Arabidopsis thaliana: one gene and its partners. The protein of the gene in region 1 interacts with the protein of each later gene in a pairwise test. Each region holds a gene or a part of one and is shown on either strand. Other genes may lie near its edges.

Evidence for each region.
Region 2: the proteins of CPSUFE (region 1) and GRX4 interact in a two-hybrid assay, tested with the Arabidopsis thaliana proteins (one study listed by BioGRID).
Region 3: the proteins of CPSUFE (region 1) and AT2G20270 interact in a two-hybrid assay, tested with the Arabidopsis thaliana proteins (one study listed by BioGRID).
Region 4: the proteins of CPSUFE (region 1) and CXIP1 interact in a two-hybrid assay, tested with the Arabidopsis thaliana proteins (one study listed by BioGRID).

What each region holds. Positions count from the first base shown.
Region 1 is NC_003075.7:13,381,676-13,385,668, forward strand, and holds CPSUFE (chloroplast sulfur E), read right to left. Parts: upstream 1,967-3,993; 5' UTR 1,897-1,966; coding exon 781-1,896; 3' UTR 523-780; downstream 1-522. Other genes in the region: UKL4 (uridine kinase-like 4), read left to right, coding at 2,828-2,984, 3,087-3,178, 3,467-3,536, 3,868-3,980. UniProt on the Arabidopsis thaliana protein: Participates in cysteine desulfurization mediated by NFS2 in chloroplast and NIFS1 in mitochondrion. Activates the cysteine desulfurase activity of NFS2.
Region 2 is NC_003074.8:5,307,063-5,311,698, forward strand, and holds GRX4 (glutaredoxin 4), read right to left. Parts: upstream 2,563-4,636; 5' UTR 2,322-2,562; coding exon 2,250-2,321; intron 1,973-2,249; coding exon 1,832-1,972; intron 1,746-1,831; coding exon 1,646-1,745; intron 1,534-1,645; coding exon 1,467-1,533; intron 1,293-1,466; coding exon 1,214-1,292; intron 1,123-1,213; coding exon 1,072-1,122; 3' UTR 703-1,071; downstream 1-702. Other genes in the region: AT3G15650 (alpha/beta-Hydrolases superfamily protein), read left to right, coding at 23-173, 256-338, 437-530, 618-702; AT3G15670 (Late embryogenesis abundant protein (LEA) family protein), read right to left, coding at 3,079-3,702, 3,786-3,839.
Region 3 is NC_003071.7:8,737,188-8,741,773, forward strand, and holds AT2G20270 (Thioredoxin superfamily protein), read right to left. Parts: upstream 2,474-4,586; 5' UTR 2,431-2,473; coding exon 2,144-2,430; intron 2,034-2,143; coding exon 1,960-2,033; intron 1,397-1,959; coding exon 1,241-1,396; intron 1,082-1,240; coding exon 1,055-1,081; intron 891-1,054; coding exon 814-890; 3' UTR 599-813; downstream 1-598. Other genes in the region: PSAE-2 (photosystem I subunit E-2), read left to right, coding at 210-275, 353-457; AT2G20280 (Zinc finger C-x8-C-x5-C-x3-H type family protein), read right to left, coding at 2,867-3,067, 3,181-3,283, 3,380-3,510, 3,599-3,790, 4,338-4,429, 4,521-4,586. UniProt on the Arabidopsis thaliana protein: May only reduce GSH-thiol disulfides, but not protein disulfides.
Region 4 is NC_003074.8:20,340,616-20,344,309, forward strand, and holds CXIP1 (CAX interacting protein 1), read right to left. Parts: upstream 1,850-3,694; 5' UTR 1,757-1,849; coding exon 1,235-1,756; 3' UTR 742-1,234; downstream 1-741. Other genes in the region: LHCA1 (chlorophyll a-b binding protein 6), read right to left, coding at 117-307; AT3G54910 (RNI-like superfamily protein), read right to left, coding at 2,352-2,618, 2,746-2,886, 2,949-3,662. UniProt on the Arabidopsis thaliana protein: May only reduce GSH-thiol disulfides, but not protein disulfides. Probably involved in the regulation of the redox state of the BOLA proteins. May act as Fe-S cluster donors to Fe-S cluster-requiring proteins.

The DNA of each region.
Region 1 (3,993 bases):
CAACTTTGATCAAAAAAAAAAAAAAAAAAAAGATACAATGGTCTCAGGAAAGAAAAGTTGCAGAAATTGGTTGGCTAAAACCACAGCTGGTTTCACTAGACAGGTATGTAAAGCTGATTGTATATAAAACCCCACAAGTCTCAGCTAATGGGGCTTTAAGAAACATCACATGTCTAACGGTAGACTGAAACAGGGATCATCTGAAACTCCTTTCACATTTTTTACTTATTTTATCAGAAAGAAGTAAAGCAACCAAATCTCTTTCTTTTTTTCTGTAGTCCCTCAAACCAACTTGCATCACTTGATTAGACAATACCAACTTTGAGTATCTAGATTCTAGAAGAATTAAAAAATGAACAAGAAACTTCGCATGTCTAATGGTGGCATGAATATAGTACCATTTTTCTCCCCAAATTCCTTTTTCGCTTTCCCTAGGTGCTGTGATCTTTCTAACGATTCAAACTTAGCCAAATGGACAACAACCTTGAGCATTCTCTCTATTCATCTCTCAAAGCGTAGGTACAAAACTTAATATCAGGAAACCATATCAAAACAAAAAAGACCTTGACCCTCATAAGATAAAGGGAAATCAGTTTGAAAATGGTGAATCATGTGGCGATTGGCGAAAACATTATTTATATCCTTCAATATCTATCTCTCATTTAACACAATCCTGATCGAGCTCTTAACATTATTAGAAGGTCCAGAGAACAATATCCAAAGCAAATGGACCAAAAGAAGTAAAAGAATCAGGACCTGACTTCTTCCAATGTTACACCCTCAAACCTCAGCAGGAGTCTTTGCCACAATAGAGAGAGCATGTAACCCGCTCTTCAACTCATCTTGCAACAAGTCATATATCAGCCTATGTCTCTTGACCAAGCTTTTACCTTGGAAAGCATCCGAAACGATTCGCAAGTTGAAATGTGTTTCCCCATCATCACCAGCACTACCTCTAACAGCGGCATGTCCTGCGTGCTGGTAAGAAACATCTTCAACTTCTAACTCAACAGGATCTAGCTCCTTCTCCAATTTCTCTCTTATCCTCATCCCTCTACTCCCTAAAGCAACAACATTTGACCCACTCTCAGAATCATCAATCTTTTCTGTTCCCAAATCCTCAACTAGATCAGGTTTAGACTCCAAATCCACCTCCGGAACATTAGCTTCGTCCTTAGTCTCAGGAATAGACACAAAGCTGGATTCTGAACTCTCTCCAGAACTTGAATCTTCCTCACCTTTGACTTCCAAATGAAGAGCCTTTTTCTGCATCAGCTTAAGCATATTAAGTAATCCATTGTTTCTAGAAGGAGACAGACTCTGCTGCAACCCGAGAAGAACAGCGAAATCAGGTGTTATCCTCAAAATCTCAGGGACAGGTCTTCCAGATAAACCCTTGACTAATAGAGCAGCTAACCCTTTAGTGAGAACCGAATCAGAATCAGCTTCATACACAACATTACGTTCCTCATCAAAGAAAGCCCTAACCCAAACCTGAGAAACACATCCTTCTACTTTATTCTCCCTCGTCTTGAATTGAGAATCGAGAGGTGTCAGATTCTTCCCGTAGAACATAAGCTGCTCGTATTTAGCCTTTGGCTCTTGTACCGATTGGAAAAGCTTGACGATCTCTTGTAGCTTCGGTGGAAGCTCTTCGATTGGTTGAAGGTCTCCATAGCTCGACGGAGATGATGAAGCCGATGGTGGAGGAACAATCCCGGTTGAAATTTTCTGGAAAGTGATGATCGTCCGGCGAAAGGAAGGAACTTCCGACGGTTTTAGTGGTCGTAGAAGAAGGGTTTTGGCCGGATAATGGATTGAAGAAAACAAGGTCCGTTTGAATGGGATTAAACGAAGCGAGGAAGCGCAACAAGAAGAAGACATCGCTGCTGCCATAGTCGCGAACTTGAAACTTCGAGAGAGACTGAGATGATGATGAAAGCTCTCCTTCTTCACTTTTTCTGAGTCAAAAACCAATACCGCCAATTAGGTAGTAACCGGGAATTAAACCGGGAATGTACCAAAATCCAAAAATTAGATGTAAAATCAATTGTGGGGTTGATTATGAATAATTAGAAAGTATACGACTCTTTTCATAAATAAGGAAAAGAAAAAGATATCTAGATTTTTTTTGTTTTGTTTTGAAGCATCGTCTTCCTGGTTCTTCGTTCTCTTGCGTTCGTCACCTCAAACACGTCCGCCATTATTATATATCAAATCAATCATGTCCGAATCCAGCTTTTACCAATGTAAGCAATTAAATTAAATTAAATAAAAACACTTTTATCAAATTTAATCAAATTAAAAAACTGTCCCTTTCTTATCTGAGATTCTATTGTTTCTGTCTACTTCCACAGAAAGAAACTGCATCTCCGTTTTTTTTTCTGATTTGAGGCTTTCCTTAGATCCTTGAGAGCAAAACTGAATCTGGGTAATTTTAAAAATCTCATTTTTACGACTTATCTCTTTTGAACGATCTGTTTTTTCATGTAAGTACGATTTCACCTCGAGATGATCGATCATTGCTCTTCTGGTTCTTCCATGTTTGATTAAATGTTATAACTTGAGGGTTTTGTTTCTTTTGGATTGTTCTCGCATTTGTTGATCTATGGTTATCAAAAGAGTTTGGATTTACAGTTTTTGGTTGCAGCTGAAATTTTTCACTCTTTTCTTCTCTGTTTTGCTGGATAAAGTTGGATTTGATTCACATTGTTGTTTAGAATCTAGATGAAGTTGTAAGATTCCTTGTATTGTGTTTGCTTATGCATGATTGTGATAAAGATTTAAGTTATTTTACCAATGTACAATGTCCAGAATTGTCGTCGGGATGGGTTCTAAGTCCGTTGTTGACATGATCGAAGCTGCCTCGCGGGCACATTTTTCTGGTTTACACGTGAATGGGCACATGAATGGGTTGGAACCAAGTGCACTTAAGGAAACCACTTCTGCATCAGAAGATATCCAAAGACAGCCTTTTGTAATAGGTGAGTTCTGCTTTTGCTTTCATTTTTGATTAATATATGGTCGTGGATAAAAAAAGCTTGACGAATGGTCTTGATTGATATGTTGTGACTTGAATTGGTTAGGTGTTGCTGGAGGCGCAGCATCGGGAAAGACTACTGTTTGTGATATGATAATCCAGCAACTGCACGATCAGCGTGTTGTACTTATTAACCTGGTAATTTTGTTTTGCTAATAAAGTTTCATAGAGCTAAGTGATAACCACCGGTTTGATTTGTGTTTCGAATGTATATGAAGTCAATTGAATTCCACACAATTTAGAGATCTAAAAGGAGAATATTACCAGCTAATAACTTATATATGGCTGAAGTTTAACATTGTTCAACCTTGTCACCATTGTTTAGATATTTATGTCAGTCTATTTATCTAATTCTCAAATTCCTTTGGCATCATGATAAACCACAAATTGCTCGACTTAATATCCTATGATAATGATTTTTGGCAGGACTCGTTCTATCATAATCTGACTGAAGAAGAACTTGCTAGAGTTCATGAATACAACTTTGATCATCCAGGTGAGAATATATTTGGAGTGTAATTGCTTTCTGTAATCTACTCTTGTCAATACATAGTGTCATCAGGAGTAAAAAATCTTTCCTAGCTTCTTTGGCCATTTTTTTTTTTTTTATAATACTTCTTTGGGATAATTAAGGCATAACTAACAGCCATATTATTCAGTGATATCTTACTAATTGATGTATTCTCTTTTATTAAAGCAATTTCATCCCTGACAGCACATTACTAGTTGCTGGGAGTTATGAGAAAAAGTCTTGTGCATTACTCTTTGTCATCCACCGTTAATTTCTTTTTATCCAGGATTCTAATGAATTGTTGTTGTTTCTGTAGACGCATTTGACACAGAGCATTTATTGTCTTGTATGGAGAAATTGAGGCAAGGGCAAGCTGTAGATATTCCAAAATATGATTTTAAAACTTACAGGAGCAGTGTTTTCAGAAGGGTACCACCTTCCC
Region 2 (4,636 bases), on another chromosome or scaffold:
TGTTATTTGTGGTTTGTGTCAGTCAAAGTTGGGATAGGAGGTTTCAGTATGGGTGCAGCAATAGCTCTCTACTCCACGACGTGCTACGCTCTTGGACGTTATGGAACCGGACATGCTTATACTATAAACCTACGAGCTACTGTAGGACTTAGCGGTTGGCTTCCTGGTTGGAGGTATAAATATATGTCTTCAACCCTTTCTTGTCACTTGTTAACACAGAGACTTAACATTGAAAGCTTAAACATAACAATGCAGGAGCTTAAGGAGCAAAATAGAAAGTTCGAATGAGGTTGCAAGGCGCGCTGCATCGATACCGATCTTACTTGCACATGGAACTTGTATGTTTACATATATCATTATATGATTTACTGTTTCAAGATAAAATCACCGAAGAGAATCTAGAATTTTATTCACTTTATGTGTTTTTTGGTTGCAGCGGACGATGTAGTTCCTTATAGATTTGGAGAAAAATCTGCTCATTCACTTGCCATGGCTGGATTCCGACAAACTATGTTCAAACCATATGAAGGGTAACTGTTCAACCTATATCCCAAAGTTATCATTATCAATCTAGTTGTTTTAGTCTGAGATTGTGAGGTTTTAATGTGATTGTGTAGGCTTGGTCACTATACGGTTCCTAAAGAAATGGATGAGGTGGTTCACTGGCTCGTCTCAAGGCTTGGTCTCGAGGGTTCGCGTTAAACTTTACAAGCATCTTCTCAGCATCTCTATAGCTATTATACGATGGTGTAGAATATTTATATTATATATATAAGGGGTGGGGGGTTTCTTGGGGTATACGGTGTTCTCTCATGTTTCTACTGTTTTGTGATTTATTCATGCTTTTCTACTGTTCGATTCTTGATTATGAATAATAAAATAAATAAATAAGGCTCGTTGGGCTTCTTTGATTTTGCTATCTTAGTTTACCAAAGTTTTTATTCATACGAAATCCAAAGATTTTTGAGTTTCTGAGACATTATTTTACCGTACATGAAAAGACATTCTTATGAAAAGAAAGAACAAAAACATAATAACTTCCACTCGTCAGCATAACTTCCAAACTTTGGATCAATCTTGGTTTCCGGAGACGTCTTTAAGCTTCTGCTCCAATTCACCTTCCTAGAATAGTAAAAGAGACTTGTGATTAAACAAACACAATGGAAACGGGGGAAAAAAAAGTCAAACAGGGTCTGCTTTAAGTGGAACTAACCTTGTGCATGTTAAGGATGATGTCTGAGCCGCCAATGAACTCTCCCTTAATGAAGATCTGTGGAAACGTAGGCCAGTGGCTGCAAAGAAATAAAGACTTGAAAATCAAAGGGAGGTCTAGATCATATAGGTCAAAGATTAAGGAATGAACGGTAACGAACTTCAATAACAAAGCCAAACTTTATGAAAAAACTTTGAGAATGAGATTATACAACTCTCTGTATGAAACTTTCATTAAGTGTCCACATACTCACCTGAAGGATTTCACAGCGTTTTTCAACTCTTGGTCTTCTAGAATGTTTCTAGAACTGATAGGAACATCTAAAGAAGGATATCACAAGATAGTAGATCAGAACACAGAGCCTAACGCCAATAGTAAAGAAAATTCACAGAAGGCTTCTTCAGTTTCAATCAACATTTCAACAAAACTTACTATATTGCTGCAAAACTCTGACGGCTAGTGAGCTAAACCCACACTGAGGAGATTCAGGGACACCTTTCATGTAGATCATAACAGGATTATCCTTCACATCCTACACAACCACCAAAGCTAAAACAGCATTAGCAAACACCTAACAAAGAAACATTCAACTTCAAATCTAGAGAAGCTGGAGTGTACATTCTCAACGATATCTTTAAGTGAGTCCGTAGAATCGGGAGGGACTTTTTGTGTAGGCTTGAAATCATCATGTGTATCTGAATCACTTGGCACTGTTGAGGAAAATCTCATCATCCCATTTTGGTAGACTGATGCAGACGTCTGCAAACAAAAACCACATCATTCTTCTCCATGTTAAATTCAACTATCAAATGATCATCAATACCATCTTCTATTGGAAACAAATTCATTTTCACATAATTCAAAACCATACGCTCACGTAACTATCTAATCCGGTTCAACTAACAAAAGAATCAGAACCTCAAATGTTATATAAAGGAGCAATTTTTAAGTGATTCAAGATGGGAAAAGAGAAAACTTTATTGAGCAAACATTAGATACATCAAAATTGAGTAAAAGGGTTATGAGAGAATCTAACCAATCTGCTAGAACGAACAGCTTTGAGATTAGCGATTCCTTTTATAAGTCTGCTCGATAAAGAAGCCGCCATCTCTAAATCACGCAGATTTCTTCAAAGTGTTCCGCGGTTTTGTTTAATCGAAATCTGTCTAGAAAACTATCAAGAACAGGAATGAGAAAAAAAGATTAGAGAGGGTAGCTACGAGGAAGAAGGACGGAGCTAGAGATCTTTACAATGTCGCGACCGCTTCTCTTCATCTCCAGTGACCGACCCAGAGAACGACGTCGTGTCATTACTCATAACCCTAAGATGTTATACGATGTCGTTTCGGATGGTCACCAAAGTATACGTCCGTTGACGTCTTGATAAATTTATTTGGTTTGCTCGGTTTAGATAAATTACTATTCAATTTTTTTGGTTTACTTCTCTCATTTTAGTAGATCTATGAAATTGAACGATTCGTAAAACGTAAAAGCAGACACAAATGTTTTATTGAAATTTTTGATAAAAGAAATTGAAAGATTAGTAAAACCCGTTTGGATTAGCAGCTATATCTGTATAATGCTAATGCTTGATGACCAACATACGAAGTGGACCATGATGTGTATTAATAACTGTTTATTGTAACAAAAATAGAAATTTGAGAACACATAAGTTGTAACAGGATCAAATCTAAACTTATTGGCTGGAAATTAGAAGTCTCCAGGATCACCGTCACAACAAGAAACACAGCTGAACCACAACCATAAAGAAAGACACAACGGAAATTACAAAAACACAAACACAAAACTCAAAAGACCAACTAACACAAAGATACTTTCATATCGTTCTCAATTTTGTTTTCTCATCACTTCCTCTGATAAGTCTGATGAGTCGGATCAGTGGTTCGAGTAGTTGCAGTAGTGGTAGTAGTACTTCCTGGATAATGCTCTTTGTCTTCTTCCTCAGTAGCCATCCCAAAAGTATGCTTCACTGCATCAGCTGCACCCATTGCCATTTGCTTAACATGCTCACCAGTCTGGCTCAAGAATCCACCCGTCTTGTCTCTACCGGCTTCAGCCGTCTCCTTTGTGTACTGTGCCGCACCTTGAGCCGTCTCCTTTGTATACTGAGCAGCGTCTTGAGCCTTGTTCTTTATGGCTTCGCCTGTCTCCGATAAGTAGCTCCCGGCCTTGTCCTTGGCCTCGCGAGCTTTGTCGCCAGCTTGAGATGTCTTTTCTTTTGCTGCTTGCGTCGTCTCATGGGCCTTTTGCTGTGCCGTTTGGGCAGTTTGAGATGTCTTCTCTTTTGCTGACTGGGCCGTTTCATGGGCCTTCTGCTGAGCCGCTTGGGCAGTTTGAGATGTCTTATCTTTAGCTGACTGGGCTGTCTCATGGGCCTTCTGTTGGGCTGTTTGGGCCGTTTGAGAAGTCTTGTCCCGGCCCTCCTCAGCCTTGTCCCTCATCGTTCCCATAGCTTGTCCAGTCTTCTCCTGGTATTACACAGACAAATCATCTTAGAGCTTATATAATGTGGTTTTACGTATACACATACACAAAAATATATTCTTATTACCTGGGCCTTGCCTCTGGTCTCACCAGCTTTGTAGCTCTGTTGGTTGGATGCCATTTCTTTCTTCAAATGTGTATCAAACGAAACTAGATAAGTTTTAAAAGCTTTTTTCGTAAAAGTATTTGTTGTTGTAGTAGAAACTGTGATTTGTCTCCCCAAACCATCGGGACATTTGTAGTGTGTCTTGGTCGGCGGAGAAGAAGACACGTATTAGCACATTGAAACGTGTATAGCTGCGTGGTGTGTTGAGGTTAAAAGAAAATTAAAAAAATAGGAGTTTAGGGGTGTTGTGCTTTACGTTGCAAGCGTTAGTATGCGGTTTCTCGGTCTTGTCCGTGTTGTCCTCTGAGGTTGCGACACCTCATGGTTAAGAGGAAGATGCTTGCTACGTGGCAACACCATAAGTATCGTCGTCGCATGTTATGAGATTGCTAATTTTCATTTTTTTATTGTATCATGGAAATCGGCCGTCGGTCGGTACATGTTCCGTGACGTATTAACTATCAACTAACATTTAGATTATCACGATTAAAATACTCTTTAAATTATTATCTTCACTTACAAGAGCCAAACTTGATCTCATATAAACCAAGCAACTTCGAGGTTATTAGCTTTAACTACTCACCTTCACATAAATAGTGTGACAATTAGCCAAGGAAATTTGCCTTGTGTGAATCATATGCAAATATTTAGATGATGTAATTAGTATTGTATAAATACTACTAATTAACATTTAACTATAGTCTATAGACACACTGAGACAACTATCACTGCTACACAAGTGTGACAAATTTAGATGTAACCAATATACATATACGATGTCAGACAAAAAAAGGGGATGAGTACTAAAAAGT
Region 3 (4,586 bases), on another chromosome or scaffold:
ATGAAGTTTTTGGACCTCTAGATCAGGATTAAAAGGAACTAACCCTTGTGGTAGAAGAAAATTCAAGCTTAATTAGATGCTAGTAGAGAAGATTGGACTAATATTTGAGCTAAACTGGGTATCATCAATAAGTTCTGGGTCTATTTAGTATACATATTAAGAGTTATAGGGCTACTGTGAAATTTATAAACAATTTTGAGGACTTACAGGTCAAGATTCTAAGGAAAGAATCATACTGGTACAAGAACGTTGGATCAGTTGTGGCCGTTGATCAGGTAATGCATTTACTTTTGAAGTTAACGATCTAACGGTTAGATATCGTTTCATCTTATATTCCGGTCTAAATTGTCAGGACCCGAAGACCCGATATCCGGTTGTGGTCCGGTTCGCCAAGGTGAATTACGCGAATATATCGACCAACAACTACGCATTGGACGAGGTGGAAGAAGTAAAATGAGAGACATGGTTTATCTCTAAACCGGTTCGTCTGTTTGTAATCTTAAACAAAACCGTATGTACCAAAAAGTTAACCAACAATTCATCTTTTATCTTTTACAATCTCAAGATCGATTTCCAAATATGCATTTAGCCACCCAAAAATGATTGCAAATTCCAAGTAGTGTGGATCAAACTCAGCAACTCCGGTTTAGTAACAGAACCCAGCATGACTCATTGACTGTTTTTTGTACGTAGAAAGAAACACAAGATTCTTATTGAAAATCTCTATATAGACAGTAAATTCAAACAGCAAATCATCTCGACTTCAATAAGGAAACATGAAGAATCACCAACCAGTTTCATCTCTAGAAATCTCTAGGTCTGACCGTTTTTTCCATTGGCTTCAGCTAAAATTGCTTCCAGCTCTCCTTTATTGTGCAGCTGCAATGTATCTGTTCAACAATAATGATATGCAGGTCAAGTTACCAGAAAAATCACAAGACATTGAGCAAGATCTTGAGTACTATCTATCTTGGTGCCAAAATACACAAAGACGATCTCAATTACATATTAGAAAAATCTCGGTGTTGAGGTAAGAAAGGAAGAGAGATTGTACCTGAGCAGCCACCAATGTGCTTGCCTCCTGGTCATGAACAAAAACATGATATCAAAATTAGATAAGTGATGGTCATAGCAAATGTAGTGGCTAAGATTTTATCGATAGTTTTGTTTTCAGGCAAAATAATCAAGAAAAATGATCAGAGTATAGTTAGTAACTGGCTTAAATGATGAAACAACTAACCGATGAAAACATTGGGAACAGTGTATTGTCCAGTAATTTTCTCCAACACATTCTGCAGCTGCGACCCTTCTGAACCTGGAAACGCCAAAAACCACCAAAACTTTTGTAAATGTTTCAGACCAATATCATGAGGCAGAGATGTTTTACCCAAAGAAACTAAACAAGACAAGAAAGAACAAATGGTTTTGGAAAGTCACCAAATCTTGACACGAGAAAAGATAACTAAGAAGATAGCAACATAATAGTTTCTAACAAATAGAAGCATACTGTCTAAGATTCAAAGGCAGGAAAGAATCTTCAATTTGAAAAATTTAAGCCATTAGAAGTACTAGCCTACCCGTTGATTCTTCATCAACAAGTCATTGGTCCAAGGAAAACTACAGTGGAAGTAAATTTTTCACATAAACAAGACACAGAATCTCTGAAATGTAAAGCTATCTTAGGCCATTAGAAACCCCCCTAACCATCATCAATCCTCCATCAAAATCTAATCAAAAAACATACAAACCAATTCAAGCAAGCAGCCAAATGAACCAGAAGATAAACAAGAAGAAGTTGGAAACAAGTATTAATTTCATCCAGTCAAAATGCTGAAACATTAGGGCACTTGTAACCAGCTCTTCCTTGATCGATATAAACAATATCACACACATTATCAAAACCAATATAGCAAACTACTCAGACCCATATAGCAAACCAAAGTAAAGAATTGAGCATACCAAGTTGATCCAATTCAACAACCAGTGGCTCAACTTGAAGACTCTTGAACAAGGACTTCACTTGAGACGAGTATCTTCACCACCAAAAAGAACAAACCCAGTAAAAGTATCAATATTGACAAACTAGATCATAAATTAACAAAACCCATTCCTCTAATTGAACCAAAAAGTATAGTGAACCTACGAGCACCAGGTTTTGGAGTAAACAACGACAGGGTTCTCTGCCACAGTCGTTTTAACAGTCTCCTCCAATGTCGATCCAGACGAAGACGATGATGAAGACATAGCCTTAACAGAAGAACAACGGAGTGGTGGCCACGACGCGATTCCGATAACTGTCGGCTTTAGACATCTCCTGAAAGGTAACATGCCCAAGTTTCTGATTCCGCTTAACATGGAGAAAGAGATTGCTGGATTTGAATTTAACGACGTCCATGTCATGTTCGCGAGGTTTACTGTTGCGGCTACCATGGCGATTTCTTCTTCCGACGAAATTGGATGCTTTTCTTATTTTTGCCCTCAGATTAATTTACCTCTTTTTATATCGCCGATATTTTTTGTTCTTTATTTATAAATATCAATAAAACAACTAAATATTCATAAGAATTGATTAAAATTCTTTGTTTTTAATACATTTCTGTAGTTTTTATTTTCTCTAGTAAGTTTACGACCTTTTATTTACACATCATGATAAAATTAACAACAACAAAGAAAGATGAAAATGATTGGACAAAAAAGATACTACTAGTTCTTTGATGAGGCCATTTAAGACTGTAAAACAGTAACAGAAATTATTCAACACCCCAAAATGGGGTTTGTGTCTGCAAAATCCAATCTATTGAAAGTACACAAAAACAAAACATGTGCTTTCTCTCCTCCACCTCTTCCTCTTAGACCATTTTTCATTTCAAGATGACCCTTCGTCGTTTGGCTCACGAATCTGGATCGATGTTTTCGACAAGCTTGCTTCCAATTCATCCAGCTCATCCATGTCTAGGTCATCATCATCATCATCGTCATCTTCTTCTTCTTCATTGACTTCTTTCGAACTCTGTTCAGCATCACCACTACTCTTGCTTGTCCCTGCCTCTGCTTCTTTGTTCTTTGCCTGAAAAGCAAAAAACTCAAGATTCCATTAACATGACTTGGTTGTTTTAAATGATGAGTGAGTGAGAGAGAGAGAGAGAGAGAGAGAGAGAGAGAGAGAGAGAGAGAGCTCACCTTTTGTTCAGTCTCTTCCTGCTCTCTTTCCCTCTCGTATTCTTCACAAGCCTCAGCATCATCCACAAACAAGCTTGCATTGGACAGAAACAGCTCCCGACCACTGAGGTTACAAATCCACACAATGAATCAGCTTCCAAGGACAAAAATAGAGTCACACTGGAGATGGATATGTAACAGAATGATGAATGGGGATTACCTCATACGGTCGTTCTTAGCTCTCTCCGCTTGAGAAGCAGCCAAACCGGCATCTCTCTCAGCAATTTTCTTCCTCTTCCATTCCATAAATAGTGCAGGAGTCATTTGTGTTGCGGTTTGCAGTTTTGCACGCTGAAACATAGAACAAGAAAACATGGGTCTCACAAATCAAGTACCGGGTCCTAGCAGCTATGAGGGAAACTTGAGGAGTATTTTAAACCTCGTTTTCGATTTCGTCCTCAACTGCCAGCTTCTTCGATGACTCCTCTTCCAAGAGGGCTTTCATTTGAGATTTAAGGACATATCCAGGAGGAAGCGCGTGTCTGTAATGACACTCTTTGCCACCATTGGGGCATGACCAGAACCACCCATACTGTTTCTTTTCCACAGCATCCAGAAAATACTTGCAAACCTATTATTTTTCAGTAAACACAAAAACAATTACAAGTCAATAAAACTCAGCGAGACAAATAACTCATGTGTTTAGGATAAGTTTATGAGATGATTATTGAGATGAGACGCAGAGATATTATTTCTTTTAGCATAGACGTATATAGTTAAGAAACATTTATTTCAAAATTATGATTAGCACTAACATCACCAAAAGCATGAGTTCTTGTCAGGCATGAACCAAGTGCGCAGAAAAACACAAGGGAACAACGGGAGGCATAATAACATCTAAGACCCTAATGGCTCTTAATATGAACCGTGCTATTAGCTAAAGGAAGCGCATCGTAAGGCGAATGCACATCAGCTAAAGGTTAATCACAGCAAGTGCAACCAAAACTAATGCATCACTTCACATAATACACGTTAAAAGGCTGTATATTTGAACACAAACCAGTTCAGACATTTTCACAGTGCATTAACAAGAGAAAAGCTACTAATAACTGATAAGCATGTCCCGACAAGCATATAATAAAAAGTCCGAGAAACACAAGATAAGAGAAACAACTTACGATATCTGTTGGCTTATTCTGATTATATTCATTTTTCTTTGATTCAACAACCTTTTCAAGGGTCTCTTGATCCCACTCATCCATATCTCCATCTAAAGCCATATAAAAAAGGCAAAAATATGACCATCATCCAAAGGACCAAAGGGATAGATATATAAGACACTTTGTGCCACACTTTTATACCTTCATCACGCGTATCACTGTAAATATCAATCTTCTCACCCTTCCTTTGAATGTTCAAATCATGAG
Region 4 (3,694 bases), on another chromosome or scaffold:
TTGAATCTTTCACAAAACGTACAATGTTGCATCATGTCATCAAAACAGAGTAATCTAACAAACAATTCTGATTCCAAACTGAGCAACAAAACAGAGTAAAAGGGTTCGAAGCGTACCCAGGAGCAGAACCGTCAAGGTAAGCTGGTCGTGGCTCGCCAGGCATCCAGTGAGCAGCCATTCTGATACGACCAACATTCCCGGCGTTTGGGAGTGGAACTCCGGCGGATACGAATTTAGACTTGGAAGAAGAGAGAAGCGAAGGGTACACGGCGGCTATGCCACAGCTCATAAGCGAGTTCGACGCCATCGTTTCTCTCTATCTGTCGTTGTGTTTGCCACCAAAGGAGAAAGATGTGGACGAGAGGTGTTTGGTGGAAGTGTGAATGTGGGAGACTGATCGTATAAGTAAGATTTGTGAGATGAGAATCTAAAACCAGATTGCAATTGGCTATACAGAGCCTGCGTGGCTTTTTCATTGGGCCACGTGTCTTCTCGATATCATGTTCTTCTGTTCGATATCCATCTGCACTATGTGGTTCAGATAAAAGCAGAATCTACGTATATTACTATTTTGCCATTTATCCACTGCAACGAGATGCTATCAGATAAGTCTTCCTGTTCGGTGAAACACATTTCTACTAATGTTTTAAAACTTGACCCGGACCGGTAAATCTGCGATTGGTCATGAATCCGGTCTGGATTTATTGCTAAGACTGGAGACTTATCAAACCGGTAAAACTTGGATCAACGAACACATGCGAGGCTAAATCATATGTCTTGAAAGGAGTATCTAACAAACGATACATTTTGAGACAACGTGTTTAGACATTGAAGTGAGACAGAATACCATTTGCAGACACACTGTACCGGTGAATGTTCAGAATCTTTGGAACTAAGTTTCTTTAAATTGTATCTCAATCAGGATATGAATGAGCATAACAACCCATGACTTCATGTCTCTTAGTCAGAAACAAACTTAGATTCTACTAGCACTACTTCACACATAAACCTTTCAACAAACAACACAAATTTGCAGGCCAACACATATGACAAAGGAAACTCAAATTCCAAGCAACTCCAACTGTTGTATACCTAAATCCATCATACAATATATGTCTCTTAATGTTACAACCACAAACTCTGAAACATCAAAATCACATTTTTTTTCCCAGGTGATAGATAGATAGATAAGATCAAATTCCATCATCACAAAAACCAAGTATTGAAATCAGGATCAAGAGCACATAGCTTTCTCCACCTCTTCCTGCAATTCTCCAGTCTTAAACGCCTCAAGAGTAATATCACAACCACCGAAAAACTCACCGCCGATATAAAGCTGAGGAAACGTCGGCCAATTCGAATACTCTTTAAGTCCTTGCCTCAACATCTCATTCTCCAGAATATTCACATCTTCGAAAGGAACATTCAGATTCTTCAAAATCTGAACCACAGTGTTGGAGAATCCACACATCGGGAAGTCTCTCGTTCCTTTCATAAACAGAACCACTTTCTCCGAATTCACCAGTTTCTCCAGCGTGTCTTTAAGTTGCGGCGTAAGAGCCGACGCTGAGCATCGGAATTTAGTTGGTTTCAGCTTGAGATTCGAACCGTAGAACGATAGCTGATGGTTATGGACGACGAGTGCCGACGTTGGTTTAAGAGAGAATCTGATAGAGTGAGGCTTGTTGGTAACGGAGGAGGAGACGACGGCGACCGAAGTTATCAAGGTCGGCGTTTTGACAGATCGGAGAGCCATTTTTGACGACTTTTAGATTTGGAATTGAGAAATTGAAAAGGTAAATGATTTATGAGCCACAGACACTCAGTGCGAGTGAGAATTGAATAAACCATGTTGCCAAACATCACCACTAAGCCGGTAGTGCATGTCATAATCATGGGTTTAAAAATAAAAATTAGAGGACATTCCGGTTCGGTTTGGTTCGACTCTTTAGATTCCGGTATTTTAGATATTAAGAAATTGGTTGGTTCCACTTGGATCGTATTAGTATTTCGGTTTAATAATTTTAGAGAAATTATCAGGGCATCAAATGCTTTTCAGTTTTTCAACACAGAGCTAGTTCTCTTTTCTTCATTCACAAGGTATGTATATATCTCTACACACCTATAAAACCCCATAAACGATTAAAACTTATCATATAACTTCTCCAATCAACATAATTTGTTTTTTGGTGGACAACATATAGAATAAAGTTTTTATCACATACAAAAAAAACGGAAAACATAGAAAAAGATGGTTGACGAAAACAAATTTTCAGGTTGAAGACAAACCATACGAGCCCGGGGACATGGAAGAACTGAAGAACAAGCTTTGTTTTGGTGATCAAATACTCTCAATCAAACACGAGTTGGCATGTTGTTGAAGCTCTAGAAGAAAGTGCCAACTCCTTTAACATGTCAAATCTTTCATCATCAAAAACACATGACTTGATTGTTGTGGTCTTCAAGTGAACAGCGTTCTTCAAGAAATACACTGCAAGATCTCTCTCTTCTGGTGTTCCTCTATATGCCGACAAGTTGAGAGTTTGGAGACTCAACAACATACATTCAGGGACAGTACTTGGTTGATGCCAGTAAAGGATATCATGATTCTCATGATACTGAGATCAAACAGAAGAAGAATTACAGATCAAACAGAAGAAGAATTACAGATCAAACAGAAGAAGAATTACACTAAAACCATAATGTGCATCAGACAAGAAAAAAGAGTTTGACGAACAAACTTACATCCATTTCGGAAAGGTCTAGTGCTTGTAAGTTAGAAGAATCTTTGAGCAGTCGGACAAGTAAATCCGACGAATGCCCTTTGCATCTACATAGCTTCAGATGTTTAAGCTGGTTGAAGACAAAACCTCCATCATACATAGCCTGCGCAATATTAAAAATTATCAGCAAATGCATATCTAAACAATGAGTTGAGAAAATGATACCTGTGAACATATTGAAAGACGCTTGACAGATGTGATTGATCCAATAAGACTCTTGATGCTATGTAATTCAACATCTATATCTGCCTCTATCAGGTTAGGCATATTCTTAACCAAACAGTAGTGACTCTTACTGTTATGGTCTATAAGTTTAAAATACTTTAAAGAAGGAGTTTCTATCACAATCCCATCGATCTCATAAGAATGAGGTATAAAGAGTGATAAAATCTGCAAAGATGGGACAACAACAGTTAGCTTTTCCATGCTGTCTGACAAAAGTAAATCCACCAATAGATCTTCAAGAACAGGGCAGTTAGATAGAAGCCGATGAAGAGAGTCTTCATTGAGGTATCTCACGCTGTGAAGTTGCAAAGTTTTCAGAGAGGGAAGAAATGCCATTCGAGGAACATCCAAGCGAATCTCGCCACAGAGTTCCAAGATCACAAGCGATTTGCAGGTATACAAGTTACTCGGCAATATGTTTGGCTTCTCCGGATATGAAGAATAAATAACCTCCAGCTCACGCAGGCAGTGAGAAACTGCTATAACAACCCACATCTTGATATTCTCAGGTGTGCATTTTGAATCAATTAAGTAAAGACGGAAGCTTTCTATAACCGGAGCTCTATGTAATGGCAGATTTTTGTCAAGAAAACACTCCAACCTCTTGCATTCAGAAGAATCTCTATGACCATACTTAAGTTTAGGCAACCACATCCAAAGATACTCCCATCTTTTCGACAAAATGC